4 linked regions of the Struthio camelus genome follow. The protein of the gene in region 4 interacts with the protein of the main gene of each other region in a pairwise test. Links are inferred from orthologs where the notes say so. Each region holds a gene or a part of one and is shown on either strand. Other genes may lie near its edges. The genes, in order: HNRNPR, CIRBP, EWSR1 and KHDRBS2.

Evidence for each region.
Region 1: the proteins of KHDRBS2 (region 4) and HNRNPR interact in binary tests that used the Homo sapiens proteins (3 or more experiments, as listed by UniProt). The link is inferred for Struthio camelus from reciprocal best matches to the Homo sapiens genes KHDRBS2 and HNRNPR.
Region 2: the proteins of KHDRBS2 (region 4) and CIRBP interact in binary tests that used the Homo sapiens proteins (3 or more experiments, as listed by UniProt). The two-hybrid records come from large-scale screens. The link is inferred for Struthio camelus from reciprocal best matches to the Homo sapiens genes KHDRBS2 and CIRBP.
Region 3: the proteins of KHDRBS2 (region 4) and EWSR1 interact in a two-hybrid assay, tested with the Homo sapiens proteins (2 studies listed by BioGRID and IntAct). The two-hybrid records come from large-scale screens. The link is inferred for Struthio camelus from reciprocal best matches to the Homo sapiens genes KHDRBS2 and EWSR1.

What each region holds. Positions count from the first base shown.
Region 1 is NC_090964.1:2,706,120-2,713,797, reverse strand, and holds the start of HNRNPR (heterogeneous nuclear ribonucleoprotein R), read left to right. Parts: upstream 1-4,666; 5' UTR 4,667-4,700; coding exon 4,701-4,775; intron 4,776-7,678. UniProt on the Homo sapiens protein: Component of ribonucleosomes, which are complexes of at least 20 other different heterogeneous nuclear ribonucleoproteins (hnRNP). hnRNP play an important role in processing of precursor mRNA in the nucleus.
Region 2 is NC_090967.1:7,052,249-7,059,622, forward strand, and holds the start of CIRBP (cold-inducible RNA-binding protein), read right to left. Parts: upstream 3,007-7,374; 5' UTR 2,385-3,006; intron 1,624-2,384; 5' UTR 1,618-1,623; coding exon 1,515-1,617; intron 1,433-1,514; coding exon 1,326-1,432; intron 1,101-1,325; coding exon 962-1,100; intron 876-961; coding exon 791-875; intron 666-790; coding exon 598-665; intron 176-597; coding exon 159-175; 3' UTR 1-158. UniProt on the Homo sapiens protein: Cold-inducible mRNA binding protein that plays a protective role in the genotoxic stress response by stabilizing transcripts of genes involved in cell survival. Acts as a translational activator.
Region 3 is NC_090958.1:5,247,544-5,255,548, forward strand, and holds the start of EWSR1 (RNA-binding protein EWS), read right to left. Parts: upstream 3,009-8,005; 5' UTR 2,910-3,008; coding exon 2,897-2,909; intron 1-2,896. Other genes in the region: EMID1 (EMI domain-containing protein 1), read right to left, coding at 4,508-4,632, 7,304-7,388. UniProt on the Homo sapiens protein: Binds to ssRNA containing the consensus sequence 5'-AGGUAA-3'. Might normally function as a transcriptional repressor. EWS-fusion-proteins (EFPS) may play a role in the tumorigenic process.
Region 4 is NC_090944.1:36,990,588-36,997,515, forward strand, and holds the start of KHDRBS2 (KH domain-containing, RNA-binding, signal transduction-associated protein 2), read right to left. Parts: upstream 3,013-6,928; 5' UTR 2,957-3,012; coding exon 2,866-2,956; intron 1-2,865. UniProt on the Homo sapiens protein: RNA-binding protein that plays a role in the regulation of alternative splicing and influences mRNA splice site selection and exon inclusion. Binds both poly(A) and poly(U) homopolymers. Phosphorylation by PTK6 inhibits its RNA-binding ability.

The sequences.
Region 1 (7,678 bases), on a different chromosome or scaffold from region 4:
CAATGTAATCAAAAAAAAAAAAAGCTAATGAGGATATGAAACCAATTAATGAGGAGTCAGAACAGGATGCAGAAGACAAATGGGATGCACCCTCAAGAAGATAAGGGACTGTGGGGAAACAAGGACATGGCACCCAGCGTGGCATATAGGCCAGGACCTGTCAGAAGAAGAATGACACCAATCAGAAGGAAAGACGCACCAACCAGGAGGAGAGAGACCACTGACTCAGTAAAAAAAAAGATTGGAGGAGACCTTCACTGGCAGGCAGGGAAATAAGACTTCAAAGGGTATAATTACCCCAGCACGTCTTTGTTTGAGGTCCCTCTCCGGAGGCATCCAGCTCAAGCTGTTACTATGCTGTACTATCATTTAAATAAATAATTTTGCTGCTATACGTGTGAGAGACTCTGCTCCTTGGAAACCTAGGGTTGAACTGTTTCCACAACAGCAGAAAAGGAGATACCAGCTATGGACCGTGGCTGCTTCAGTGCTTGTAGTTTGTTGCAGACTAAAACATCGCCTCCTGTTTGTATTGGCACTGGGGCTGTATGAATCAACTATCTCTAAGATGGTTATAGGTCTCTGCTGCCCTGTTAAGGGGTGATTTCCTGGTAGCAGTGAATAAAAGCACAAGTAGGGGACTAAACATTTATCATTTGATAGGGGAGGATTGCAAGGAGGATATAGAACCAGGCCTGGAGAAATTCCTGTCTTCCAAGTTAGTGGAGTTCAGAACAGGAGTTCTGGAATCCAGTGTGACAGTGGAGGACAGGGGGCAGTTGTCTTTTAGAAACCATTACTCCCTAATTGTCAACTATTTTGAGGCAACTCGGGTGCTGAGCGCCAGCACTTGGAGCTGATATTTGAGATGTGTTAAGACTGTGAAGATGATGCTATGCACAAGCTTCTTCCCAAGATGCTTAATTTGGGCTGCATCCTGCACAATCTGATGGAAATTGCTAAGACTCCTTGGCTGTGGGGCAGGGGCAAAAGCAACGAGAGAGAGAGAGAGAGAGAGAGAGAGTCTGAAACCTTGCCTCTAAATTGATAGGACCTGCTCAATCTGCTTGCATTGACTTGTATTACCATGAAGGAATGAATTCTAGTAAATAAAATTGCCTCCCTTTGATGTATCCAAGGTCTTCAACAAGCTGTTTTAGTGCAAGGTCCGCAGGTTACCCATTCTGGTTTCTTTGGGCTGTTTTGTCACTCTAGCCCTCCCCACTCCAGAACAGACAGGGGAAGGAGGTATGACAGAGCAAATGCTTATATTTAAAATGTATTATTTCCCTAAAATCAAAGACACTGGCTCTGTGCAAGGCAAAATAAACTTATGTGCAGAAATTAACAGGGTAATACTAGCAGCATGGCATCCCTAGGCAGCCATTTTCCTGAGCATTTCCCTGCTTTAAGGAGTGGAACTTGTTGGGGGCTTCCTCATTGATAAATAAGGACTGTAGAATGTCCGTGAGGCAGCAAGTTTTGTTGCCTGTCTTTCCAGATTGATGCAAGCCAGCTCCCTGCAGCAGAGATTAACCACCTTCTTGGTTCTAAGGTGGTCTTTGTTCTGCCTTGCTTTGGCCCAGGAATAGTTCAGGTCTTGCGTGCATCTGTTTGTTTTCAACCACACAGAGCTGTAAATAGCATAATTCCAGGAATTTCTAGCAATATCTCTTTGAAATTACTCTTTGTTCCAGACCATCTAGGACCTCCTTTCAGGCCCAGCTTGCTGGCTGGCACTGAACTCTACTACCTGCAGGCCATAGCTTGTTCCTGTCTAGAGATGTTCAGTGTTTAGATCTTTTTGGTCGAGGCTATTGTATGGAGCACGAGACCAAAAAGCTGAACAGCTGCCCAAGCACATGCAGATGCTAGCGGGGGTAATAGATATACTGGAGTGATGTACCAGAACCCAGTCCAAAAGCCAAGGGACTAGAGATATCTACAGCCAGCATGAAGCTCTAGTACTTCTATACTAGATGGCAATACAACAGCAGATGCTCTCTTCTCATGTCCAGAAGCCTCTAACAGTCAAGCATCCAGAAGACCCCCCCCCCCCAAAAAAAAAAAAAAAAAAGAAACCACCAAGGAAAGAACCTCCATGGGTGAAAATGGAGAGAAGGACCATCTTCAACTGGGGGAAGAGACTGGTATGATTCATCATAGGTTGATAACCACAAACATACCAGCAGTTGTGGCTTCATGTCAGAATTAGGTCAGATCCATTACAGCAGCATGCATCACATCGTAGATGATTTTCATGCTGTTTTTGCTGTTCATGCTGTCAAACCATGTTTAATTACAAATTCTATCCTATGAACACCAATTTATGGCTGAAATTAATAATCTCCTAGCAGGAAAATAGCATGCTAAAGTCTTGTTCTGGCAAAGACATGGCAGGCTTAACACAATATCAATATGAATTCTGATTATGAAATGAGAACTACCCAAAAACCCCTACCCCACCCCAAAGCCCATAGCCTGCTAATGCTCACAACTACCTGCATACAATTAATTACCCTTGGAAAACACCCATGCAGAAATGATGAAAAAGTGCCAAATTAAAAGCCTTAAAGGCATTTCTGACAATGACTACCTTAGAAATCTTCCTGATTCTTCCTGAATCTACCAAGATTTGGTAGTGCTTAGCAACTGAAATTACTTTACTAAAAGTGTACCTACCTCAATATAAATTTTGCTCTAGTCTCATCATGTTCAGTTGTCAGCTAACAGTAGGTATGTTAGTACTCTGTATTTCACTCCTGGATGCGACATCATAAGATATTTTGAAGAGCTTTGCAGAATGTTTATTAAGCACCACTGAAGTGACAGATGTGCATGTAAACATCCCTCAATTTCTCTCAAATTTTGTGCTGGGAGAACTCCTTAAACCTATTATTCTTGACTCCCAAACAGTCGGATCAACTGCTGCAGTGAACTTGTATGGATGAAGCAATGAATAATGTTCCCTTGCATCTTTATGCCACACTAGACCCTACCTTCAACAAAGAAAAGCTGTCACTGTTGCCAAATTTGGAGATAGAATTCATAGAGCCAGTACAGGTTTCACAAGAGAACAAGCATGTCTGCCATGAGACAGGTTCAACAAGATAGACTGCTTACCTCTGATATCTGTATGAGTTCACTTCTGGCTTCTGGCTCAAAAAAAGCTTCTTTCATTTACAGCAGGTAACATGTACAGTTTTTATCTATGTTCCATTTAAGGGCGATGGAAATATGCACACTTAATACATTGCACAGATACATGCAGTCTTCTGAAGAGTGTCACTTTGTCATTAAACTGTTGGAAGAACCTTCTGAAAGCATGAGAGGCTACTGTTTTTCTTTACTTACCAGACTCAAGAGTGATGGTTCACCTGGCCATCTATGTACATAGATGCTCTGGATTCACTTTCACACAATATTCTGGGACTCACCTTGACCTCAAAGCACAAAACAGTTATTCTCATGTCATGCAACTGTAGGCTGAGGAAATGGAAGTCAGCACAACACTTTGTGGCCTAGGAAAAACAACATCACAGCCAAGAAGCTGACTTCCCACAGAACTGTGTATTTAATGCATCAGGTCTACACCCATCAAATAGACTGATCAAGCAGACAGACCAGGTAAGCAGGCAAGTTACATATAATCACAGATGAATTATCTAGAAACCAGCATACCTCACACAGATATCCTTTCAGGGAAGGCTCTGAACCAGGATTCTTGCTGCTACACACCTTTCCCTCTTTACTCCGGACCTGGAAGCCAAATCTACTAACGGCCTCAGATTAACTTACCAGTAATATCAATGCAGGCTGGCTCTCATCTCCAGTAAAGCTTACCAGTCTTTCCTAGCATGGCCAGTGGCTTCACCCGGCAACAAAAAAAAAACCCTACAACTGACATATAGTGCTGTGCTAAACCTCATGCTATCTTAGCTAGCCAGCAGGACTTTACTGGATAGACCTACATGGCCAAGGAAAAACTACTGGAGCAGCAGGATACGGACAGCAAATTCTTCAAGACAGAAAAGCAGCATTTGCACAGAAAGCATAATTTAACAAGAAGCAGCCTCCAGGAGAGGCAATACTAGGGCCCTGGTCCCTCATGCATGAGGCAGGCCTCAATCAGAGCCGTTGGGCTGAGGCAGCAATCCCTCCCGCAGGCAGGGCCCGGGCCGCGCTGTGAATTCCTCACACGCGGCCCCCGGGACACCCACCGGCCTCAGGGCTAGGATTAACCCCGACGGGCAACGCCTTCAGCCGGTGGCTGTCTGCCCCAGGGCCCCAGTCACCACCCGGGATGAGCCACCTCGGGCAGCACCCAGCCGCAGGCCCTGGCGCGCAGGCGACGCCCGGCCGCCGGGGGCGGGGCCCGGCCGCAGGCGCGCGAGGGCCCAGGGCGGGACGCCCCCCGCGCACCCGTCCCGCTCCCTTTGTTCGCAAGGCTACGGGCGGCGCTGCCCCTTTAAATCCCCCCAGCTCGGTCCCTGCCGGCGCGCCGGGCTGAAAGCGCGGCGCGATTGGCTATAGAGCCTCCCTCTCATTGGCATCTGGGAATAGCTGCGCCACCCGCCTCCCGCTTCTCATAGGCGCTGCCGGCTGCCTGTCTGAAGTGCGAGTCCCTGAGTGGGTGAAGCAGCGGTCCCTGGAAACAGTTCCGGGAAACCCCGCGTGTTGCCGGGGTCGCGTCGCCGTCCATGAGGAGAAGGAGGAGCGCGCGCCATTTGCCGTCGCTGCTTGGGCCCGAGCTGCGCCGCGCAGGCCCCGCTCCGGTTAGTCTCCGGGGGGTGCCGATGGTGTCGGGGGGCCGCCTCGGTCGGGGGAGGAGGAGCGGGCTCGCGGGCAGGCCCTGCGGCGGGGTGGCAGGCGCGGGCTCCGCCTAGGCCCGGCGTTGACGGAGGCGGGCCTGGGGCGCCCGCGCCGCGTAGGCGAAGCGGGACTGCGGCGCCGCTGGTGCCCGGGCACGGTGTCTGCTGCGCAGGCCCCGGCGGAGCGGGCGGGTGGACCGCGCGCGGGAGCGGGTGCTGGGGAGCGGCCGGGGGCGGGCCCTATGGCCTCGGGGGGGGGAGGACGGCCCGGCGGCCCGGCGCGGGCCCTGCATGGGGAGGGCAGCGCGGCCGGAGGCCGCCCTGGCTCCGCCCGGCCTTGCGGATTAGCCTTGCATGTGGCTGGGGAGGAAGCGTGGCGGGAGCTGTTCTTGCGGTACTGCTAACGATGGCTGCCGTGTGTCCCTCTGCGCTGGGAGTTAAGCCCTTTCTCGATCCCCTCTTGGGCAGTGTGGAAAAACAGTATTTTAACAGCTCAGACGCCCTGATAGGCAGCTGTCGTGGTTACTGTCCGATCTGTGCCGCATTATGCGTGTGGGGAATTGGAAAAGACTTTGACAGAAAACGCATCGCTGTTGCCAGCGCTATGAATAACTCTCTGAAATCTTGTAGAGCGCATTTTGATACTGCTGGCTGTAGGGAGGGAGAACTGCACTGCATCTTCTCGCAGCTCTCAGGTTGGCACTTAGTATTTTGTTTGAGACAGTAACACTTGCTAAATGCTCTGAAGGAAGCATTGTTGCAAGGACATTGGTTTTCTTAAGTGTTCTTTACCAAAAGATCTTTACCAAACCTTAAACGAAGCCTTTTTTAAATCCCCCTCCTTTTTTTTTTTTTTTTTTTCACGTGGTTCTAGTTACTGGATCTTAGCGACCTTGTTACCTATTAATTCTTGGACGTGGCTAATCATATACTTGAGCTGTACTGGACTAAGCTTTTCTTTGAGGAAAGTTGCTTGCATTCCGCCCACCCCCCAGTATCTCACTGAAGGATCCTACCAGCATGATATTTTTGGGCTGCAAAGGGAGTTAATGTATATGAAGTTGTTGGGTTTTTTTTTTTTTGTTTAAGATTATACTTTGTATAGCACTGAATTATTTTATGTGTCTTCTAAAAGTAAAGACCATCTAACCAGAGTTTTACAGTGTAATTTCACTATGTAAACTGTAATGTTTGCAAACTAGCAGAGGCTAGATGACATTTTTCTATCTTAGAAACTATATTTTTCCATGAGTGTTTAATATCCTTACCTCTCAGTTTTTTATCTAGATGTGATCCCTATTGGGATAATATTTGAGCCTCCCACTAATACTCAATAGTTTTGTCGAAAGAAGCAATGCTCCCTGCTCTCATAGACAAAGATCTGCAAAACTTTCTAAGGACAAGTTCATCAGAATAATGCTCACTTTTGCTGAAGTGTTGTTTTGAACTAGAATGTTATGGACGTTGTTCTGTACAACCCAGACAATCAGGTGAGCCATAAAAGGCCAGCTCCAGGTAGAAATTAGGGTACGTAGATTTTTATAGCTCAGGTTAGCAAAACGTGGTAGGTACTGAATCAGTCAGTGCTGTATTTTAATGGCACTGATGGCTTTTGTGCACATTGCTAACCTGTTGTGGTAGAGTCATCTCTTGATGGAGGGACTGCTTATACTTGCATAGGTAATGAAGCGTAGTTTCTGTGGGGACTGTGCTAGTCTTTTGGTTAGGATAATGATGGAGGTTCTCAGGTTTTTTTTTTTTTTTTTTTTTTCATTCCATGGCATTATGGAATGGGAAAGACAAAACTGTGCTGGAGGGGTGAGGGTGCTAACTACTCATCGTTGTAAAGGTAGTCTGTCAATGAGATGCTGGTAAGAAAACTTTGCTAATGTGTAAAGGCCATTACTTCTAAAGATGTGATAACTTCAAAACAAGTCTTCTTATATGACATACTAAAATGTTCATTAGTATGATATAATTAAACTACTAAAATACGCTTTCCGTGATTGAATAAGCTATAGTTGAAACGAAATGGCTATAATCCTCGCACAAAGAAATGTTAAGGGATATGCTAGTCACTTTTGTGAACAAGTGAGGTTTTAATAAACTCCCAGTTGAGTTTCCTAATCTAAGATCCTTTCTTCCCCTTGCTCATAAATTTCTTCGTGTTTTGACAGAAACCTTAAGTGCAAGACTGATGATATTTTTCTGGGGACTAAATTTGTTTTCTTGAGGTTCATTTAAAAAAAAAAAATCAGACTCAGTCTAACATCCCCCCCCTCCCCCAATTCTATTTTTAATGTAGTCTAATTATTGTTTTTTCTCTTTAGACCCTGCAGGCTATGTATTCAATAGGAGGATTAGTAACATAAGCAACTTGAAATGGCTTTGGTGCAGAGTTTTTATGTATGACTTATGCTTCCTGTCCACCTTTGCTAAACAAGTACAGTTTAGTTCCTTTGCAAAATCAAAGTTAAACAGTAGAAGGCTGAGAACCGTATTGTTGGATAATCACTGCAAAGTTGGTTATAGTAGTTTAAAATATTATTGTCCTTCTGCCAGAAGTTTCCATTTCTGCTCATTTAAGCTGTTACTGAACATGTTTTGAATTAACTAGACTGAATTTATAATTAATTGGATGGAAGTATGCTCAGCTAGTCTGAGGGTGGCAGCCTCTAGAGGGATGGTATAAAAAATAGGAGATAATAACACTATGGCGGTTTCATCAATGATTATCTGTTAAGGGCTGAGATCAAGTTTCTGTTTTAATATGCCAAATGCTATCATGGTCAGGTGTATATTAATTCATTTTTTCTTGGTGGAAAAATACTATTTGAACCATTTGAGTTGTTTAAGCATGGGGGAGG
Region 2 (7,374 bases), on a different chromosome or scaffold from region 4:
TCAGAAGCTGTCAGGCTGTGTTTGACAAGATTAGAACTGATAATACTACAAAAGTGAAAATACAAGTAGATGTACTACACAATAACGATTTCAGCGAAGCTCCAAAAATCTTTATAAATACAGCCATTGGAAGGACGATCTTGAGTCAGGAAGGATTTTTACTCGTTGTGTGTAGCTGAGGACAAGAAGCAGGCACAATTGTAAAGGCACTGAAGCATAGACAAGTTCCAGCATTTTACTCCCTTGCATTATTTCAGAAGCTAATGCTAGTTCGCTATGTCTTAAGAGAACTCCCCCACCCTTGATTAAAGTTTGTTAGGGCATCTGAGTTTTGTCTTAGTCTCAAGCTTGAGGAATGTAGTTAAAAACTTGCTTTGCCTTAGATCCAAGCAACTCCTACACATGCATTACAAATTAGAAATTTAAATGGCACAACCACGTCCGAGGCTTGACAGATTGGTTCTTACGGGCAAGAACAAAAATAGTGGTACAGTCCAACTGAGCCTTACAGTATTTCCAGACTTCAGTACAGGGTGAGAAGGTTTAGAGAGTTCCTACAGCAACATACTCGTCATTCCCATTTGAACTAAGACTTACCGTAACTGTCGTAGCTGTCTCTGTAGGATCCTCCTGAAGACCTGTCGCCGTAACCACCTTGACTCCTGCTGTTAAAAATACATTCACATGCATTATATTTGTTCATCTGTTCGTGGAGCCTCTTGACATGTGTCAAACAGGCAGCGGACTTCCAAGCGCTTTGCAAAAGAACCCCTATTTGCGGTGGGTTTACCTGCTATTATAGTAGTCTCTGGAGCCATTATATCCTCCACTTCTGGAATCAAACCTGCTTCCGCCATAGCCTCTGTCTCCACCTCCTTCAACAGATGCAAGGAGTTTATTTTAGCATGCTGAGAGCTACCATTATCCTATCAATAAGTACTGATCTTTTACATACGCTCACCTCTAGAGAAGCCACGGCCCCGACCTCTGCCTCCACGGAAAAAGCCTCTGCCCCCAGAAGACCCCCCTCTGTATCCACGAGATCTGTTCTCTGATGATTTTCCAGCCTGATCAACTCTGATCTGACGTCCATCTACAGACTAAAGTCGAAAGAAAAATAAACCAACTTGGTATTTCAATGTTGAACAACAAGCCTTTCGTTCAGCGTTACAACTAAGGTATAGCCCACTACAGAAGTAAATTAGTTTTCAAGCGCTATGTATGTGTTCCCTCTGAGTTTCTATCATTTCACTGAACAGGAACACGCTTTGCTGGCTCCTCTTATTCCTTGAGAGATCAGGAAAGAAATTCCAAAGTCTCCTTACCTTTCCGTTCATAGCCATCATTGCATCTTTAGCATCGTCTATGTTTTCAAAAGTAACAAAGCCAAAACCTCTGGATCTTTGAGTCTCTCTGTCTTTCACCACAACGACTACAAAGAAAAAAAGAACATGAGCACCCAGGAAATCTAGAAAATTCATGGAAAACATCACAGCTAATTATGATGATCTTACCTTCAGAGATCTGTCCATATTTAGAGAAGACTTGTTCCAATGACTGCTCATTGGTGTCAAAACTCAGACCGCCAACAAAGAGCTTCCCCTCATCGGATGCCATTTTGTCCTGTAAAGTCAACGTACCCACCGTTAAACCAAGAAATATTTCCGCAAGGGCCAAAACATTGGATCAGCAGCCTAGCATTCTTAAACAACGCACGCTCATTCGGTTCAGCGAGCCACCGCTGCAAACCACAAAGGAGCACCCGAACGGAGGACCAAGTGCTTTCTCTTGGAAAAACCGAGCCACATCCAGGTTACGAAGGAGAGCACAGCTACCCACCACATCCGCCCTCACCCGGGGCCAAGCCACCTCCCCGGAGGCGCGCAGAGGGCTCGCCCGGCACGGCGGGCTCCGGCCCTGCCTGCAGCCGCCCGCCCCGCCCCGCGCATGCGCGCCCCGCGGGGCACAGGCGCAGCCTCCCGGCCACCAGGCCCCCCTCCCCGCCCCCGGAGACGCCGCTCCTCCCTCCGCGCTCCGCCCATTTGGCGCAGGCGCGTTGCGACGCCCCTCCTCCCACCCGCCGCCATTTTGCACCGTCGAGGCGAGTCGCCATTTTGTTTCCGAAGGCGCATTTCACCCCTCCCCCTGGTTTCCCCCCCCCAACACAGCGCACACACGCAGCGAGCAACCACAACGCCTTCGCTAGGCTCACTACACAACCTCGAAAGACAGCGGGGCCGCGGGACAGGCGCCCCCCGCCCCAGGCTCCCCCCCGGTAGCAAACCCGCTGCTTCTCGGACGCGTTCCCCTTGACTAAGGCGCTCCAAGCCTCCCCAGCCCAGCCCGGCCCGGCCGCCGCCCGAGCACCCCAGCAGGCTCCTTACCAGTATTCTGGAGCTGAAGGGTCCACACAGCACTTCAAAGTCTCAGCGCGATGTACGCTGAGGCTGGCGGGGCAGCGGCTTATAAACCCCCGCTTTCGGCCCCGCCCCTCTTATGAATATGCAAATACTGCCCCACCGCAAGGCGGGGCGAGTGACGAGACCAAAGCGCTGCCGCCGCTCCGCCACCTGATTGGCCTGGAGCTTATTAATATTCATGAGGCCCGACTGGGGGAGAGGGGAGGAGGGAGTGAAAACAAAAACGCTGCATTCCCCCTCCTTCCCTTACTCCCACGTGGGGGTGGGGCGTGGAGGGCGGCTCTGATTGGTTGGGAGCTCGGAGAACGTTGGCCAGCAGAGCCCCTGTGAGAAGAAACGAAGTGGAGGCAGCTGATTGGCTGGAGGGCGCCCCCGTCGCATTTCCCCCTCCGCCACACCCCCTCGCGGCCCGCACGGGGAGGGGGCGTGGCCGCGCTGCCCCAGTTTCGCGCCCTTCTCAGCAATGCGGCGGCCGCCGCTGCTGCAGACAAAGGGGCCGCCTGAGGGGGCGGCCGCCATCTTGGGCGGCGAGCGCTGCAGCCTGCGCTGCCTCCCGGCGGGGCGCAGCCCGCACCGGGCGGTGCTCACCGGCGGTGGCTCGGCTTTCCCAGTGTGCCCCCACCTCAGGGCCCCTCTCGTGTTCCCTTTGCTGAGGGAGGGCAGCCTGCCCCCCCACCCCCACCCCGCGCAGGCATGGCGGCCTGTTGGCTCTGTGGGATGACGGCAGGATCCGTCGTAGCAGAGCGACCAGGCCGACGCTCGGAGGCCGGGGCGAAGCGCCCCCCTCCCCGAGCCGCTCTCTGGAGAGCGGAGGCCCCTCGGGCAGGCGGCAGAGGAAGGGGCCGCCGCGTCCTCGTCACCCCCAGGCGCGCCGTCCGTCCCCTCGGCGGGCGGCCGCCCTCCGCGTCCTGCCCAAGGGTTACGCCGCGACTTCACCTTCCCCGGCCGGCTCTCGCGGCGTGTGCAGGGTGAATAACGGCTACAGCAAAGCAGCCTCCTCCTCTGAAGCGCGGTCCTGGTGACTCGACACCCCCCGCGCGTACTCCTGAGAGCATGGCACAACTAATTTTAAAAGCCGCCCCATCACCCGTTCCCAAGCATAAATGGTTTTGTGAAGGGGAGGGGAAAAAAAAAGAAAGGATTCTGCTCAGCCCATTTTCCATTGAAACGTCTAAAAGCCCACCCTGGGATTTTTATAAGGTAAGTATATCTCTAGCATTAAAAACTTCCCAGTTCAAACAAGAAGCTGTCCGACACAGGTACACGTTTCTTCAAGAGACTGCATTGCTTTAAAACGCACAGGAAAACACAATTCCCCAGTCTTTCCTAGAAAAGCTACAGTCTTGGCTCAACTATGCCATGATGTAGGATGCTATTTAAAAACGGCCGAGAGGAAAAGACGCAGGAGGAAAACGGCGGCATACGGACAAGAGCTGGAAGAAAACAGGGCTAGGACGGGTCCTGGAGGCCACGTCACCTACCCCTCTACTCGGCAGCAGGATCAGCGCCGTGTAAACTGGATCTGTGAAGTGAGGTGGGGAATTGTACTGCAAAGGAGTCGGTAATTTTGTTTGCAGTTTGCACCAGGAGAAGAGGGTGCGCACATACGCGCACCCCTGCCTCCCTCCCATCGCCTCTCTGGTCCCAGAGCTCAGAGCAGTCTTGGTCGGAACCGCTGTTTAAATAGCATACGGTATTTAAGTCAGGGCTGGGTTTTTTTCCCCCCCCCCAAATAATGCGATTGATTTCCTAACTGAGTGCCGAGACAGGAAGAGTGAAAAGAGCCATAGTGAAATGCAAAGGAGTCTTCTGCCCACTATTGTTATGTGAAAGCAGGGAGTACTCTCCTTCCCTGCCTCTCAGAGTAAGGAAATTGGACTTTTCCTCCCTGATTTGATGTTACCCGTTTTGCGATCTACAGGGAAAAGATTGTTTGTTTTGTACACAAGCAGGTATAGTAATTATGAAATACAGAAGAATCTCAGTATTGCACTCTGCCCTAATCTGTACTGCTGTACACTCAAAAATAGCTGTTTCATTACTCCTCAGCACAGCTTTCATAATGGAACATTGCGGATTTTATGTTATGGTACTAAAGCGTTGGTCGTTTCGCCAAACATACAGCACCAGCAGGGTACAACAGCATGCTCCACCACCGTGCATTACTGGCTACAGCTCAAGTACTAGTAAGCGCATTAAAAATATATATATTGATGAGGCACCAATCTATTACTATTATTACCTTCTTACTGGTAAAACTATGAAAAAATGAACTAATTTTCCAGTCCAGAGAAGAAATTAACAGCATTAATAATACAAATTATTATATATGTTATATATAATCTATTGGTACTTAAGTGTGTCTGAGATGCTTTGCAGTAAAAGGAAAATAAAAGGTTCAGCACTCAAAATATTAGAGCAATAATTAAAAACAAGATGAAGCTGTGAAGGTAGGATAAGATATTGCAATATTTTTTTACCAAAAAAAAAAAATTTTGTTTCCTGATTGGAAGTAGGTATTTTAAACTCAGCGTTTAAAATGTTGAATAAGCCTGGGTTATTTTTTAATTCTACCTAATATTGCATCACACTGTGTGGTCCACCGGTGCACCAGTCATGTCAAAGGACGGGAGAGGCAAGGAGAGAGGACTTGTGTGCCACCTGAGATCGCAAGTCAATTTTTGCCCTTGAAAAAGACAATTCAGCCCTGAGCTTGAATCCCCAGCATGGCATTTTGATTAAATTAGGGACGTATTAACATAAGCATTTCTGGTTCACGATGAGGGCGGGTAAAGTGACCTTGACGCATGGAGCCATTTTGCAAGCGGAGACAGGGAGCGGCGTGAGTGGCGGTAGGACACGGCACGGCTGCCCTGGGGATGCTGAAGGGGAGGAGGCAGCGCTGTAGCTGCTTGCATATTCCTAAGGCCGTCAGTACCGCAAACGTCAAGGGACAAACACGGTTATTTTTAATCGTACTTTTTTCTCCTGCAAAGCCGGTGCGTGTTAAGTGTTTTTAAAATAGTACAGTTAATCTTTTATGTACAGTTTCAATGGAATTTGGGTCCTACCAGGACCAAAGGCTTGTGCAGAGACGCGTAGCTCTGTTCACCGCTGAGCATTGGCCCTCAGGGCCTGATTTGGCTCCTCTAACAGTAAATGGAAAGATCCCAGCTCTCTTCTGCAGCAGCTGGATTGGGCCCCAGAAGCCGAAGACCTGATTCCGGTCTCACTTGGGTGCATTCATGCTTTTCCTTTGAAACCAGTGAAGTTACACTATTAAACAAGGTGAGAAACAGATCAAATCAAGATCTCCTGTGCTGCCTCCACTCGCTTGTCCCAGTTCTGGTGCTCTCAGGAGGCTTCACGTGCTCCAGTTCTGCTTATTCCTCCCTGTCTGATCCAGGGCATTAGAAGCCGCGTGTGTCACTTTAGCTGGTAAACAAGTGGGCTGCAGCGGCCACGTGGCCAGAGCTTTCACCTGTTGGGCACTGTCATGAGTTTGTCCCCGGCACAATGGGCTCCGGGAGGGATTCAGCACAGGAAAATCTCTTGGCGTACCAGAAAAGCACCGCAAAACTACAGCTGAAACCAGCGCGGGCAGTGTATGCCAGTCAATAACTGTCCCGGCTGATTTCACGTGTTGTTATGGCAGTAATTAGGCAATGAAGCATAACAGACGTGATACATGTCACCAGAGGTAACCTTTCTGTAGCAATGACTGACATTTGCACAACTCCTGACCTGAGGATCCCAAAACTCTCGACAAGGTAAAGCAAGAAAACGGTGCTCAGCGTTAACTTTTGCGCTGTTTCTGCCTGTGGGTTAGATGCTCAAGTAGCCCCTGCACAAATTTCAGGACAGAGCATGAGTTCATTTGTTTTATCCAGCTGAGGCACATTTTCAATCACCTTTCGGTCGCCCGACAAGAAAGAACTGTAGTTAAAGTGACCTGATGCGGTGGAAGTGCTGTTGCGTCTTCCGCAGCTGCAAATAGCTGCCTTGACCTGTAGGCTCTCCGAAGCAGAGGCCATCTCTCCATGTGTTCATGTGGCTCTTAGCACAATGCTGCGCTCCTCTGGACTGTGGACTTCAGTGTCTGATAACTGTTAAATCATAAATCACAAGAAGCTGGAGGGATCTCAGGGACCAGTCTTGTCTGTTGGCTCAAGCAACCCCATTCCTGGCAGATATTTGTCTCACCCATTTCTTTAAAACCTCCGGTGACAGAGATTATTGTAGCATATAAAATGATAGTACTTACGTCCTAAAAGAGTCTCCTTCCAGCAGCACAGCAGCTTTTAGTGCCACATGCAGGGAGCATCGATAGAGGAGTGCTAAAAAGCCTACTGTAACGTCCTTGTCTCAGTCACGGTTTCCAAATCTAGTACTCAGCACCCCCCCTGGCCTCCAAGGGACCTTTGCAGGATGGATGCAAACAGCTGGATTTCTTCGAGGGACCTCCGCTAGGCAACATTTATTACCTGTATTTGTAGGGGCCTTTCTCCAGTCCTTTAAGGCTGGCCTCACCCTGTAATCACAGCCATTTTCCACGGGATAGAGCAGTTTGGCATCTGCCCAGAGCCACACAGCAACCAAGCACAAACTTGCTGCGCAGCCCGCCTGCTCCCGTAGCCTGCGCCCAGAGCCAGGGGCAGAGCGGGAGAAGCGTCTGCCCCAGGCGCCGCTGTGATCAGCTTTCCAAACCGGAGAGAACAGACCCGAATTCCTCCGGGAGCTGCTGACGCCGGCCTCGGGCGAGGGCTGGGGAAAGGCGCTCCCAGGAGGGACGCGGGGAAGAAAGGGGGCGAGGAGGAGCACGGGGACGGCTGGCAGAGGCCGACCGGGCACCAAAACGCCTGGCTGTGGCTCTGATGGTATCACCGCCTGCTTCTCCGCGCTCCGACTCGCACAAGCCCTGCGACGGCAGGACTGGAAAGGGGACAAAAATACC
Region 3 (8,005 bases), on a different chromosome or scaffold from region 4:
TTTCAAGGACAAAAACAAATTGCTGGAAAGTTCTAACACTCTCCCCATATCAAAGTTCAAGACAGGCAGCTGGCAATAATTCCTTCCCCAAAGCCCTGATCTATGGCAACAGCCTGATTCAGAGGAAAACTGAAATTCAGAAAACGCAAGCAAAAAAATCTACACTTAACCAGTTAGCTGCAAGGGATGGAAAATGCATCCAGCATGGCAATTACAAGGCTATATTTGAAATGATTACAGCTCCTAAATGTACGCTTTCCCTCATATTGCAAAGCATTTCAGTTTCCTCCCAAACGTCTAGAGCAAACGGTAGCGACGAGTTCATCGCTTAGCCCAAACCTTCCCAGACAAATTCAAACTCTTCCAGAATCAGAAGAGGCCCATCAGCAGAGTAGGGAGATCAGGAAAGAGTTCCGACTTCCAATTTGCCACTTGGGCCACTGCACTTGACTGAACTGGAAGCAGACAGAAACAAAATGCTATTATACCTTTTCTTATACAGAGCCAAACAGAAAGAGGTTTAGGTGTTTCTGCTGCCATAGTACTTAGGGTAAGCTAATCTTTGGTAAAAACCTGAAGCGCATGAATTTAAGGAATCTGGCTGAAGACTCTACAGACATCAGTTATCCTCAGATTATAGAGAGTGCCTTAATCCCATTATGACTCCAGCTGTTTGCAACTGAAGTTGACAAAGCACGAGAAAACATTTTGAATAGTTTTCTGCTGTCATACACCTTCATGCACCAAAGGTTCCCGTTTCTTGAGGCCACAGACTCGTCCATAATACAGCTTTCCACTCTTCTTCCTAACCCTTCTGCGTGAACATACGGCTTTTCCTCCCTTTCACTTCTCTCTATTGAGGCTGGAGCTCAGGCTCTAGGGCATGTGTTGATGGAAACGTATTAAGAAAGGAGATGCCATAACTTTGGTAGTAGTTTTTGACAGATGTAAACCACTGCACACTGGTCAAAACACAATAAAAAGATGCTCAGCTGCTACTCAAAGGCTTCCAAAATCCTGAAATGCGCCACATACGTTGTTAGACTGTTTCAGCACTACTCCCGCTTTCCTTATATGTTGTCAGGTTTAAGATTTTAAAAGTCCAGCTTGCTAAACTCAGGGCCTTGCCTCTTTTTTCAGTCTACGCGTGACTACCAGCTCCGCAAAATGTGGAGCATTAAATACCATCACCAATTCCCCCTCATCCAGTTGAGCTTCTTCCATCTCTCACTGCCTCCTCCTATCTCTCAGCGCTCCTCCATTCTTTCCTGCATCTTGCTGTACAACGTCCTCACTCCCCCCTCTTTTCCCAACCTCACCTCCTCTTCGCTCCCCCATCCGTCAAAACCTCCCTAGCTCTCATTGAATTCCCATTTCCTGCTCCACTCTGGGCTGCTGTCATCCTTCAGGCTGTTCACATCTATAGCTCCAGCTTCATCCCCTCCAGCAGGGCTGACTGCCGGGCACCCATCTCCCCAGCCTTCACCCCTGGCCCACTGACCACCGGCAACCTACCACCACCCCGGGCTTGGATCTTCAGCTATGCACACAGTCGCCAGTCAAAGCCTCCTTCGCACACTCATATCCCCTTTTACAGCCTTCACGCAGGCATACCGAGATACTCCATTCCTCCCTTAGCTAGATTTAAATCCAGGTGAGTAAGTTTAATTTGCAATTTGTCTTCTTCTCTTCCAATTTGCTAGAACACAGATTGGTGCAAAGCGTTCAAAAAAAATATTATGGTTAATTTTTTAAAAATATCTCCGAGCCCTTATTTCCAATGGGAAATTAATCCTCATACTTATATTTCACGAGGCTCAGGAGCACAATAGCGCAGCCTTAAAATAGTAGCTCCCACAAATGAACATTTCCATTTATTAAGCGGAAAGACAGCTGTATTTTTAAACCCCATTTTGACAATGCTACGGCACATGTTTCTTTAGTAACTTTTTTCCCCTGCTCTCCAAAGCGATATTAGTCATTCTCCTTTACACTCCTTGGTATATGACATTTTCTCCTGTGGGACGATCCAATCTTCTGCATCGGGCTTTAACTCTACATTAAACATGATGCCGCCACCGTTGATAAGTCTGAATGCTGACCTATTTACACCCATTTGCGGCCCTCACGTGAAAGTTATGTTTTCCTCCACAACGCTTCACTGATTTCCTTCAAAGGAATCACAGTGGCACCAACAAACAGCCTTGAATAGCCCTTAGGGAAAAAAAAACCCAAAAAAACGAAGGCATGGGGGAAACCTTCAATAAAGAGAGCGATTTTTTGGAAGGGCGTGAGCCAAAGCATCTTACTGCGCTTTTTCTAGGGTGGAAGCTCTAGCAATACGCTATCATAAGCTTTTTTTTTTTTTTTAAAATAAACTGACCAAAAAAAAAAAATCAAAGTATTCCCATCAGAGCGAAGCCCCGGAGAGTTACGGCTTTCTGATGAGTCACCACTGACAGCAGCGAGGACCCCTGCGCGCCACGGGCTGCTGGGGGGAAGCTCGGCCCGGCCGCGGCCAACCGAACCGAACCGAAGGGGCCGGCGGCGCGGGGCGAGCCCGGCCAGGCCTCGGCCGCGGGGTTGAACTCAAGGCCGGGCTCGCCCCGCCCGCCGCGACCCCCGGGCCCGAGCGCGCGGCTCAGGCCGCGGCGGCCCCCAGCTCCGCCGGGCGGGACCGCGCCGGCGCCGCCATTGTGTCCCCGGCGCGCCGAGCGCTCAAACGCGCCTCAACGGCACCGAAGCGGCGGCGGGAGCCGGCGGGCCCGGACACGCGCCGCTGCCCGGCGGGGCCGCCCCGGCGCGGAGGCGGCGGCGGCCCGGGAACGGCGCGGCTCGGGCTCGCGGCGGGGCGGGGGAAGGGGGAGGCCCCGCGGCCCGGCCCGGTTCCGCTCACCCGTCGACGCCATTTTCTCGCCTTCCTCCTCGGCGCTCCCAACGTCCGGCTGCTGCAGCCGCCGCCGCCCCGCGCCGCGCAGGCGCCGCCCCTCCCACCGCGGGCCGCACCAAGGCGCCCGCGCGGGGAGGGGGGGAGCGGCCCGGCGGCCGCCGCGGCGAGGGGCAGCTGCCCCGCCGCCGGGATCCGGGCTCTGTCTCGGTGTGGCCGAAAGCCGGTACCGGCCTCCGGGCCGGCGGGCGCCGCTGGGGACGCCGCTGTCCTCGCGCTGCCCCGCGCGCCCCCCCTCCCGGCCGGAGCAGTGGTTCGGCCCGCCGCGGCTGGGGAGCGTCGCGCAAGAGGCGCCTCGGCCGCGGGGCGCAGCGCGGGGCCGCGGCGCTGCCGGCGCCGCCGCCTGACGTCACGCGGCGGCCAGGCGTCACCACCGCCTGACGTCACGTAGCGGGCGCCAGCAAGCGAGGCCGCGGCGTGGCGTCATCGCGCGGCGTCACGCGCGGTGTTGGGGGGTGGCGGGGGGATGTCACGGCGCAGCTGCCACAGGCGGAGCAGCTGCCGCGTGGCATTGCGCGTGAGGTCACCTGTCGCACGGCGTGACGTCATCCTTTGAGGCCACAGATCAGGCACAACGTCACGCAGTGGGGAAGGGGGCCCGGCTCAGGCTAGGCCTGGGGCCACGCGTGGGCAGGATGCCCCCCCGTGGGGCCCCCCGACCCCCCTTCCCCCCCGCCTGCCCCTGGGGCACGCAACCCCCACCCATTGCCTCCCCCACGAGTGTGGCGGGAGCCGGGGGCACCCCGGGGTGCCGGTACCGGGGCGGGCGCCCCGATGGGGGCCGCGGCCACCCCCTGCCCCCGGCGGCTGTGGCCATGTGGCTGCACCGGCAGGTACTGGGGGGGCAGCGAGGCCGGTACCAGGGGGGTCTGTGAGGCTGGTACCGGGGGGGGGCGGCGAGGCCGGTACTGGGGGGGGGGCAGTGAGGCCGGTACTGGGGGGGGTCTGTGAGGCCGGTACCGGGGGGGCTGCGAGGCCGGTACGGGGGGGGGTGGCGAGGCCGGTACCAGGGGGGTCTGTGAGGCTGGTACCAGGGGGGGCGGCGAGGCCGGTACTGGGGGGGGCAGTGAGGCCGGTACCGGGGGGGACTGTGAGGCTGGTACCCGGGGGGCGGCGAGGCCGGTACCAGGGGGGTCTGTGAGGCCGGTACCGGGGGGGTTTTGAGGCCGGTACCGGGGGGGTTTTGAGGCTGGTACCGGGGGCTCTCAGCCGGGGGGTGCCCGGTGTTCAGCTCTTCCCGGGGGGGGGCCGGCCCCCGGGGGGGGACACGCGCACGGACTGCGCCGGACACGGGCTTCAGGGAGGCGTTTAATGACCTGGCGACGCGGGTCGTTCCCAAAGCGGCTGGGCTGAAGCGCGCGGGGGGGCAGCGGGGGGCACGGGGACACGGGCCGGGGAGGGGGACCGCGGGGCGGCAGCGTCCCGCCGGCTAGCACCAAAACGCCCTGCCGGGCGGCGGGGCGCAGGACGAGACGGGGCGGGCTGCAGGGCGCCCGCCGGAGCCCGACGCCTCCCTGCCGGTACGGGCCCGCCGTCGCTGGGGGCCGTCGCTGGGGGCCGTCACTGGGCGCCAGCGGGGGGCTCGCGGGCCACGATGCGGTAGGTGGGCGGGCGGCTGCGCTTGTGGCGGGGGGAGCCGGGCGCCGCAGGACCCCCGGGGCCGCTGCCCGAGCCAGGCTCCGGTTCTGCGGAGGAGAGAGGAGAGAGGCGTGAGGCGGCGGTCCGGCGCAGGTGCAAGCCCTGACCCCCCGCGGGACCCCCTGGCACCCCGGGAACGGGCTCTGTCGCACCCCCCCGCCCCCCCCCGCCACCGGCCGCGCAGCCACGACGGCCGGGCCAGGGGGTCGGCTGGACCCCCTCCCCATCGTGAGGTTTTTGGGCCGTGCTGGGGTGAGATGGGATGCCAGGGCAGCTGTGCCCATCGCCCCGGGTCTCTGGTCCCCCTGTGCCCATCGCCCCGGGTCTCTGGTCCCCCCCCGGCCCATCGCCTGCCACCGCGGGCCAGGCCCGTGGTCCAGGGGGCTGGATGGGGGCCGCCGAGCTCGCCGGGGTTTCTCCTCATCGCCTCGCGGGTGCTGAGCACCAGGAGCCCGGCCGCCCTCCGTGTCAGCCTGGCACCGCGCTGGGGACGAGCGAGTCCCCACGCACGGAGCAGGGCAGGGGGCACACGACGCCGGGGCTGGCTTTGTCCCCCACGGCGCTGCGGGCGCGTGCCAGGCGCCCCGCGGTGCCCCCGCCGGCGATGTCCCCGGCCCCCCGGCGGGTGAGCTGCCCCCAGGCCAGGCACAGCCCCGCTCACAGGGACACGGGACGGCCACCAGCCCGCCTGGCACCAGAGCCCCGCGCCCGCGGTGGGCTTCGCTCCGGGGTGACCGGCCCAGCAGGTGGGTGGCGGGGGGGACAAGGAGAGTCGTTTTGGGACCCGGCTCATGGTAGCTGCCATGCCCAGCTGGCACCCCTGCCTGGCACCCCTGCCTGGCACCCGGCTGGCACCCCCCGCCTGGCATGCGGAAAGAAAAGAGCCCCCTCCCCGCAAAAAAGCAGAGCTGGAAAGTGGAGGCGGAGAGAAGAGAAAGGCAGAGGGGGGCACCCGCCAGCACACAGCTGGCACCCTGGCACCGAGCGGGGCCGGGCACCGGGGGCTCCCCTGGTCCCAGGGGAGTCTCTGGGGTCTCCTTCAATCCAAGAGGGTCCCCCTGGTCCCCTTTGGTTTGAGAGGGGCTCCAGAGGTTCCCTTGGTCCTCGGGGAGCTCCAGGGTCTCCCTCGATCCAAGAGGTCTCCATGGTCTCACTTGGTTCAAGAGATTCTCCAAGGGCTCCCTTGGTCCAAGGGGCTCCAAGGTCTCCCTTGATCTGAGAGGGTCCCCCTGGTCTTCCTTCGTTCAAGAGGAGCTCCAGGGCCTCCTTTAGTCCTTGGGGAGCTCCAAGGTCTCCCTTGATCCAGGAGGTCTCCAGGGTCACCCTTGTTTTGAGAGGAGCTCCAGGGCCTCCCTTAGTCCTTGGGAAGCTCCAGGGTCTCACTTGGCCTCTTGGATTGAAGGTCTCCATGGTCTCACTTGCTCCGAGAGGGGCTCTGGAGGCTCCCTTACTCCCGGTGAGCTCCAGGGACGTGGTCCGAGGGGCTCCGGCCTCCCTTGCGCCAGGCAGCCCAAGCTCCCAGGGGGACGCGGCGAGCCCAGCTCATGCGAGGAGGGGAGACGGAAAGCGGCGCTGTTACCTGGCCAGATGATGGCTTCCAGCAAGGTGACCCTTCTAGCCAGGATCTCCAGCCGGGCCTGCTGCCGCAGGAGGGTTTGGAAGCTACTGGCCTGGTGGAGAGTGAGAGAGCAGAGCAGAGAGCGCGTTCGCCCCGCAGGCGCAGCAGCGGGCGCGGGCGGCACAGCACGGGCGCAGCCGGGCCGGCAGCGGGCACAGCAGCAGCAGCCCTCAGGGGCTGAGAGGGGTGCTGGTGCGTGGGTCGGGGGGTGCCAGGTCTCCCAGGTGGGTGCTGGGAGGGTGCCGGGGGCTCGCCGGGGTGCTCCCAGGCAGGGGGGTGCCAGGAATCCCCTGGTGCCAGCAGGTGCTGCGGGTCCCCTGGTGCCAGGAGTGCTAGGTGCTCCCGTGGTCCCAGGGGGGTGCAGGGGGCTCCCCTGATCCCAGGGGTGCCAGGGGCTCCCTTGCTCTGACCCTGGGGCAGCTGAAGCTGCCCCGATGTCCCCGGCGGTGGCTCCTTGGTGGTGCCCCAACCCAGGGCAGCGGGCACAGGACGTGGCCGTCCCCGCCTGGGCTCGTGGGGACACGGGAGCTCAATGGGTGCCCAGCACCTTGCAGCCCCAGTGGGCGCTGGGGCTCCCCCCGCTCTCCTGCCCCATCATACGCTGACCCCTGTGCAGTGCCAGACACGCGGGGGGGACGTGTCCCCAACCTGCCCTGGTGCTACCAGCTTGTCCCCAACACGGAGACTGTCACGGGCATCTCTGCACCCGGCGGTGCAGGGGAGGGACCCCGGGGTGCCCGGAGGCCCTCTGCCACCAGAAGGTATCCTCGCCCTACGAGCGGGTCCCAGTGCCGTGATGTGATGTCCTAACACGTGTGATGATGTCACACGTGTGATGATGTCATATGCTGCGGAGGGGGGAGACGCTCCGTTGTGCCGGTTCCCCCCCACGGAGAAGGGGAGGGGAGCACAGGGCTGAGGGACGCCTCCCCGCAGCCCCGTGACATCAGCGCGCCGATGCGATGTCATCAGGGCCTGGCGCGCTCCACCTGCGACCTGCTGCCGGGGACGGGGCAGGGGGACGGCGGCGACTGCCCGCCCGGGAGCAGCCGGCAGCGGGGACCCCGGTGCGGGCTCGCTCCTCTGCTGCCCCTACTCACCGTAGAGCCCAATCATTGTTTCCAAGATTAAAACCCTCTCCGCTAAAATCTTCAGCGCCTCGCGGAGCTGGTGTAAACCCTCCCCCTGCGGAGGAAGAGACAGAAGGGGCCGTTGAGGGGGTGCGGAGCAGCCACCCATGGGTGCTTCGGGGCATGGGGGTCCTGCCCCTGCAGTGCAAGGCCCCCCCACCCCCCGCCGTGGCTTCGAGCCCACCCGGCCGCTGAGCCCTCCCCGGGCACGCGGCCGGACCCTGCACCCATGCCGCAGGGGGGCTTGTTCGGAGCCGGCCCCCCCGACTCACCGCAGCACGATGCCGGGGTGCCCCTGGGGACAGCGCGGCCGGAGGCACCTCGTCCCCTGCCCCAAGGGCTCTGAGCCCAATCCTGTTCCCCCAGCACCTGTCCTGGGGGTCCCTCCCCCGGGGCCAGCCCGGCTCCGCACCCCATGGTCCCGCACGCAGCTGGAGGGGACAGCGGGTGCCAGGCAGGGCCAGGCTGGCAGTGCCACCTCCATCCTGCCTGTGGGCACAGACACCCTGGTGGGGGCAGCTGCGACCGGCCGTGCCATCAGGGTCCCAGGAATGCGACGTGGGTACCAGGCACTGCAGGGACCCCCATGCCACCATCGGGGTCCCGGGGATGCAACAGGGGTACCAGGCACAGCGGGGACCCCCATGCCACCATCGGGGTCCCGGGGATGTG
Region 4 (6,928 bases):
CAGACTCAGGGCTTAACTCGCGATTAAAGTAAAAGACCTGATTCTCGTTGCCTTCAGAACGCCAGCTGAAAATCTGAGGTCAATTGTACTGTCATTAAACAGAGCGAAATTAGCTACCTCATTACCCAAGTAGTGTTGATATTTCAATAGGGAAAGATGCTTTTACTTTGGCTGGCTCTTTTTCCAAAGGGTCTTTTTCCTTTATGTTTCTACTAGAAAACACAGGCAATTGGTTTTAATAATATACAATGTAAGCTATTTCAAAGCCACGCATACATGGAAAATTGCCGACATATTGTTTGCGACAAGTAGCTGACACTCTGGCTTATTAAAATAATGCTGATATAAAAGAAGTTACAAATTATCAGAAAGGTCCAGTGGTTTGTAGCTTCCATGTGTCACCCACATCTTCACAGCTTAATAAGTTAGGCACGTCTAAACATAAAATACATATTTGTGGGAAGGAAAACGGCAGAGTCTAATATTAAAGTTTAAAAGAAACAGAAATATTTTTACAAGTCAATCCAAGTAAACCCAGGTGTCATGAACTGAAACTGTATTTCTGTAATGCTGCTCTCTTGTGTGCCCTTCTACGGTTTCCAACAGGAGCATGTCTCTTCTCAACCTCAGCTCCTAGCAAGTGACATGAAAAATCACAGCACTTTCAAGTCAGAGCTGGAGGCTCTCCACTCTGAAGCAAAAAATCTGCAACCAGCACTTACACATTTTATACTAAATCTACTGGCAATCAAAAAAGCTTAGCACACCACAAAAATAACACCTGACTACTATTGGTATGTATGCAGCTATTCATATATTATTTTTCAAAGAACAGAAATCCATAATCTGGAAGCATTGCTTTAAAGCCAGCATAGCCTAGAAACATATTACTACAGAGATTACGCTACTGCCCTTGCGCTACTGCTCCATGTTCTTCTGGCATCCCAAAAAATTTCCGCCTGTTGTACACATTTTTCCTTCTGCTTATACCCAGGAGCAATCAGTGCATTCACTCCTGTTTCCTTAACTAGTTTGACTCTTACTTTGATGAAACTGTTTCAATAGTTATCATATGTTAGACTCTAAAATGAATCTCTAGAAAGCTTGACAGATGGTGTTTTGAAGGATAATGCCAGGTATCTGGTGTGAATCTGACATTAGCATTCCCTACAGCTTCCACAGACAATTCACCTTCATCTTTTTTAAAAATTCACATACTTAGTCCTAGTTATACTAAGAACGAAGGAGAATGCTAATCACTTATGCAGTCTCACAAGCCACTCAAAATGCAATTTTCGCATGAACTTGAAACTCAGAAACTCTGTCATCCCCCCCCCTTTTTTTTTTTTTTTTAAAAACTTTACTTCACACACTTTGAATTACTTCCTGCATGCATTTTCTTTCTTTCACACACACACACTCTCAGTAGATACCTCCCCCTTCTGGGAAAAGATCAAATTGCAAGGTGCAGAAAATATGCCCCTTTCCGAAATAAACATATGGTACATATAAAGTCCTTAATAGAAAAACAACTATGGGAAGTAGCGTGGTTATCTCTTCAGCAGCAGGAGACCAATTACAAAGGTATACTAAATGTGTCATTATTCATACTGAACTTCCAAACTATCAAACAGGGGCACTTTAATAAAACCTAGACTCAGTACCTTTATTCACAATCAAGAAAACGTGTAAGAAAGAAAGACAACAGAAAGACTGCTGGCTTAGGGAAAGACAAGTACTGCTAGCATAGTAAGTTTTAAGTGGTTGTAATTTTTCCTTAAGATGTTACAGAACTTTGGAAATTATTCACTCCTCTTTGAATGTGAGATAATTGGAATTTGCGACTCTCTCAAGGGCCTAATCATCCATTTCTTTGCCTCAGTCTCATTTAAGGGTTTGATAGCCTCTCTTGATTTATGCACTCTTTACTACTTCGTTTTGATATTTGGATCCAAATTTAACAGTGACTTTAGAAACGAACAATATACACCTCCGAAGGAACAGAGGGAGGGGGCCGTCACAGATTACGGTGCTGTGCAACTGGAAGCGCCGTACTGCAAGGCCTGCGCTCAGTAACCACGTTGAGCGGGTATGGGGGAAAAAATAGGCTAAATTATAAACTTTTAAAAGACTCTCCAGTCAAAAAAAAAAAAAAAAAGGCCTCAACCAAAATGAGGAAAACAGAGCTACGTTATGATAATGAAGAACGAGATGTTATGAGTGTTTTATTCTAGATCGCCCCACGAGTCCAGGAGTAATTCATCACGTCCTGAATGAACTTGTGGCATGAAACTGATAAGCCCCAGCCAATGAACGCCTGACAGAGCGGAGTCAAGGAAAACAGTGCTGCATTGAAGGCGTAACAGCGTTATCATATAAGCCTTATTATTAAGCACGGGAAAGAAGAGGTAATGAGTTCAACGAGAAACTAGCGTCTGCCTGTGTGTAAATAAAACCAGGGGCCATGGCAGCATGCTCCCCGAGCCCAACCAACTGCAACGGCCCGTGGGACCAGCGCGGCCATCCGCCTTCTACGGACAAGCCTCGAGGAGAGACCTTCCCCTTCCCCAAAGAAGTAAAAGGCGCATTTCCCGGCGAGCGGCCGCAGCAGCCCGCCAGGGCGGGAGCTGGCGCGCCCGCGGTTAAACCCGGCCCCAGCGGCCGCCGCCCGACGCGCTCCGCACCTGCGGCCGGCAGCGCCGGTGGCCTCCGCTCCGCGGACCGAGGCTGGGGGGGACGTTGGGGGGGGGGGGGGGGGACGCCGAGCCCGCCGCCCGCCGCCGCCGCCGCGCTTCCCGCCCGGCCCGGCCCCGCCGCACCGCCCCGCTGCCGGGGCCGGGGTCGGGGCCGGGCGCGGAGCCTTACCGTCGGCCAGGAGGCGCATGGCGTGAACAAAGGAGGGATCCAGGCTGTCCTTCTCCGCCATCAGCTCGGGCAGATATTTCTCCTGCTCCATCGCCTCGGGGCCGCGGCGGCCGGGCGCTGCGGGGCGGGCTGGGCTGGGCTGGGCTGGGCTGGGCGGGCGGGCCGGCTCGCTCCGCGCCTCCGGCCGCCTCGCTGTGACCCGGCGCCCCGCCGCTCTCAGGTGCGCCGCGCCCGCCGCCGCCCCGACGGCGCGGCTGCCCGCGGCGGCGGCGGCACCGCCTCCTCCTCCTCCTCCTCCTCCCACCCCCCGCCGCCTTCGCTCCACGCGGGGGGCGCGTGTGTGGGCGCGCGTGTCCCAGCGTGTGCCGCCGCGCGCCTCTGCCCCCCCCGCCCAGTGAGCCACCCGCTCCCACCGGCCGCCCTAAGTAGGGAGGCGGGGCCAGGCACGCTCAGTCCCCCGGCTCCTATTGGTGGCTGTGCCCGGCAGGGCGGGGGCCACGCGGAAACTTCGCCGCGCCATTGGCTGTCGCCGGGCGGTGGGCGGGGCGCGGAGCGGTCTGGGGCGGGGGCGGGGGCGGGGGGAGAGGACCGCGCGCGCGCGCGAACGTGTGTGACTGGTGTGTTGGGGGGGGTGCGTGTGCCGTGTCTCCGTGTGTGAGCGTGCGCCTGTGGCTCTGTCTCTGAGTGCTTCTTTGTGCACGCGTGTGTTGTGTCTGCCTGTGCGCTGTGACTGCGTGTCTGCGTCGCTCCTGTCCGTGCGTCGCAGCGCGCGCGCGCGTGTGTGTATGTGTGTGTGTGTGGCTGCCGCTCCGTGTTTCGGTGCGTGGCTGTGGCTGTGCGCGCTGTGACTGCGTGTGTGCCCGTATATGTGTGTGCGTGCGTGCGCTCAGGAGCGTGTGTAAGCCCATTTGTCCGTGCCCGTGGGCTCCGCGCGGCTGCCCCGCCCGCGGGCCCCGGCGGCCGGGCGCTGTCCGCGGTGCTGAAGCCGCCGCCGGCCGCGGGGCGGGGCGGCGGCCGTGGAGCAGCGGCGCCTCGGCGGCGGCGGGTCGCTCGGGGCCCCGGCGGCTCGGCGCGGCGCGGCTGCTCGGGCCCGGCCGTGACCTGTCCGCGCAGGAGGGGCCCGCGGGCGGGGGCGGTCTCGCGTGGGCAGGCAGCCTTGCGCCTCCTGGCGCAGCGAACTGAAGCTCCTGCACCCGCACCTGAGGAATTACAGCGGCTACGCAATTGAAGTGTCTACAGCTGGAGTAAATAAAACTGATTTTGTTTTAATTAGAATTTAGCTTTAAATATACGTTTACTCTAGCTTATATTTATTCAGGATTTTCCCCCAACAGACAATTTACTAACATGTTTTGATTCTGAGAGTAAACAAAAGATGTTTAGCTCATCTTAAGGCTGTTAAAACGTCATTTGTGGGGCCTCAAGAACAAACTGTCCATCATACAATACTATGTGTGCTATGCTCAACCTCAAGGTGAGATTCTTTCTGCTTTTAACTTAATATGTTTTTCTAATGAAATAAATAGTTACTGCCATAATACACTTTCAAATCACCTACTACTGTTCCTCTTAAGGGATTTTTTTCTATAGTGTTTGGATTTTTATTTGTACTTTTTTCAGGGGATGAAGGAATAAGCAAAGGTAAAAATCAGGACAGAAAGGTGTTAAACAGCCATAGAAAATGGTCTGTGATGTCTTCAAAAACCTGAGATATATGCAGACAGCCATTACTCAATTTCCACTCAGTATGTAGAGTAATTGAGGGCCTCCATGTATTTATAAAAATACATATAGCATAGATGTAGAAGACTGAAGTGCTACTATTCCTATTTCTAGAAAGAAAGGAAGAAAGAAAAAAGAGAAAAAGAAAGAAAGAAAGAAAAAGAAAGGAAAAGAAAGAAAGAGAGAAAGAAAGAAAGAGAAAGAAGAGAAAGAAAGAAAGAAAAAGAAAGAACAACAAAGAAAGAGAAGGTATGAGAACTATGTTCCCCACTGAGAAAGGCAAGGAGCAGGAAAACAGTTTGATTTCAAGACATGTGAAACACTTCAGAAGTAGATAATAAGACTCTGATTATGGAAATGACTGCTTTAATTGGCAATCAGCTTTTGTTACATATTGGATGTGGCGGTAAAGGTGTAAGTCCTCATTTAAAAAAAAACAAATAAAACAAAGACAAACATAGAACTAGGGGCAGTTCTTCTTCACATGGCTCACAATTTAGCAAGAAATGCCATATTGTTTGCGACAGAACTCAGGACTATCTTACCTGAGAGAGAGATCGCCTGTGTCTTCATACCATACTTCTGCAGCTCTACTCCTCAGAATAATTCAGGCTGGTCCCCCTCACTTCAAAAAGAGAAAAGATCGGTGACAGCTCTTGCTCCTGATTCTCTGAGAGGTCTTGCTCCTGATTCTCTGAGTACATCTTCAAAACTAATTTAAGCCATCCTTACTCCGAAGCAAGGCTGGTCTTCTAGCCTTCAGGGCATGCTATGTTCTCAAGTATAGGAAAGAAGTTGTTTGATGGGCTTTCCATCTGGGGTGCTATAAGAATAAGAATATAAGAATATAAGAATAGTGTCACTTTAGTTTGTTTAGTTGCAGTTATCCCACTTAGCTTGTAGAAAGCACCTACAAGAAAGCACCTTGTTCAAACACCTTTATGTTTATTGAGCAGTGGGAAGGGCTACATTCATTGAACTCATTTCTCTGGTCAAGGGAGTACAGAACAGGTTGGCATGCTGATCTTTTTACAGCAAGGTAGGCAGAGACAAGTTTTCTGTAAGTTCCATTTTCAAAAGTTATAAAGTTAAATTGACTTTCAATGATACTTAGGCTGCAAAGCCATTGAGATGCTTTTCTAAATTTTACCTTAGACCTCATTAAAAAAAATCATTAAAATCTGTCAGACAGGAAATATAGACCTCTAATGACATCAAGCATGGCTTCATTGCTAGTTGGAGATTGAATTCTTTTTCATAGCTACTAAAAACCAAAGGCACATTTTATAACTTTTTAGTTTAAAGTGTCAAGCCAAATTAAAGTTTATCCGTACTATATTTTATTATTAAGTCTGATAATGAAGCAGATCACAGCATACTAGATTATAGCTTATTTGAAGATAGACAGGTAGCAATCATTGTGTCTTTTTGCCACTACCAGCTGAATGTATCTCCCTTGTGCTATCATGTAGCACTGAAGTCAAAAGGCAGTGGAAGCATACTGCTGTAGAAAATCTCCAAACTTTCCAAATATATATTTTAAAAACTAGGAAATCCTTTGAGAATATGCAGTAGAATGAATGACAAGTGTGAGCACAATGACAGTTACATTTCTGAGTCAGCACATTAGTCACTGTAATAAGTTAGATGAATTAGATGAGATCACACCTTTATGTGTGTGATTACACCTAGGCCTTCATACACCAGAGACAAGATTAGTCAGGAGTTTTCAATTTCAGAAATCCCATTTGCTTTCAAATTTCTTCTCTGTTTCACCCATTTTTAGCTAGGGATAGAGATTATCTGAGCTCCTAAATTGACTACACATCAGCGTAAACAGCCTAGGGAGTTTCTACCATCAGCTGTGTTAACTATATCCTATCCTTAAACCAGAGTTATTATTCACAATATAAGGAATAAGGAAGCAGCAATACATGCATAAGTATGTCTCCCCCTCCTTTTCTTTAGTATGTTTAATTCCTTCTTGGGACAATGGCTGTACCTGGCTTCTATCCGGCCACTGCCCCCTCATCTGTGAACCCTAGTCCTTGGAGTTCATGCTGCTTTACAATCTGATAACAGGACACCTGGACGCATACCTGGACACAAGTTGTCAATGCAAAACTTATTTCCATAATGAGAACACTTGGCTGAACAACCCAGAAAGGAAATGTACTTCAGCAAATACACCAATCACTGTAGATCACCTTCTGACTAGCCACTTTGCACAGCAAAAGACTCAGGCATTTGGTCCAACTCACAGCTGATTGAATTCAGTGGAAAGATCCTGATATCAGTAGATTTTGGATCTCTCCACTAATACAACTGAATAAACACTGAT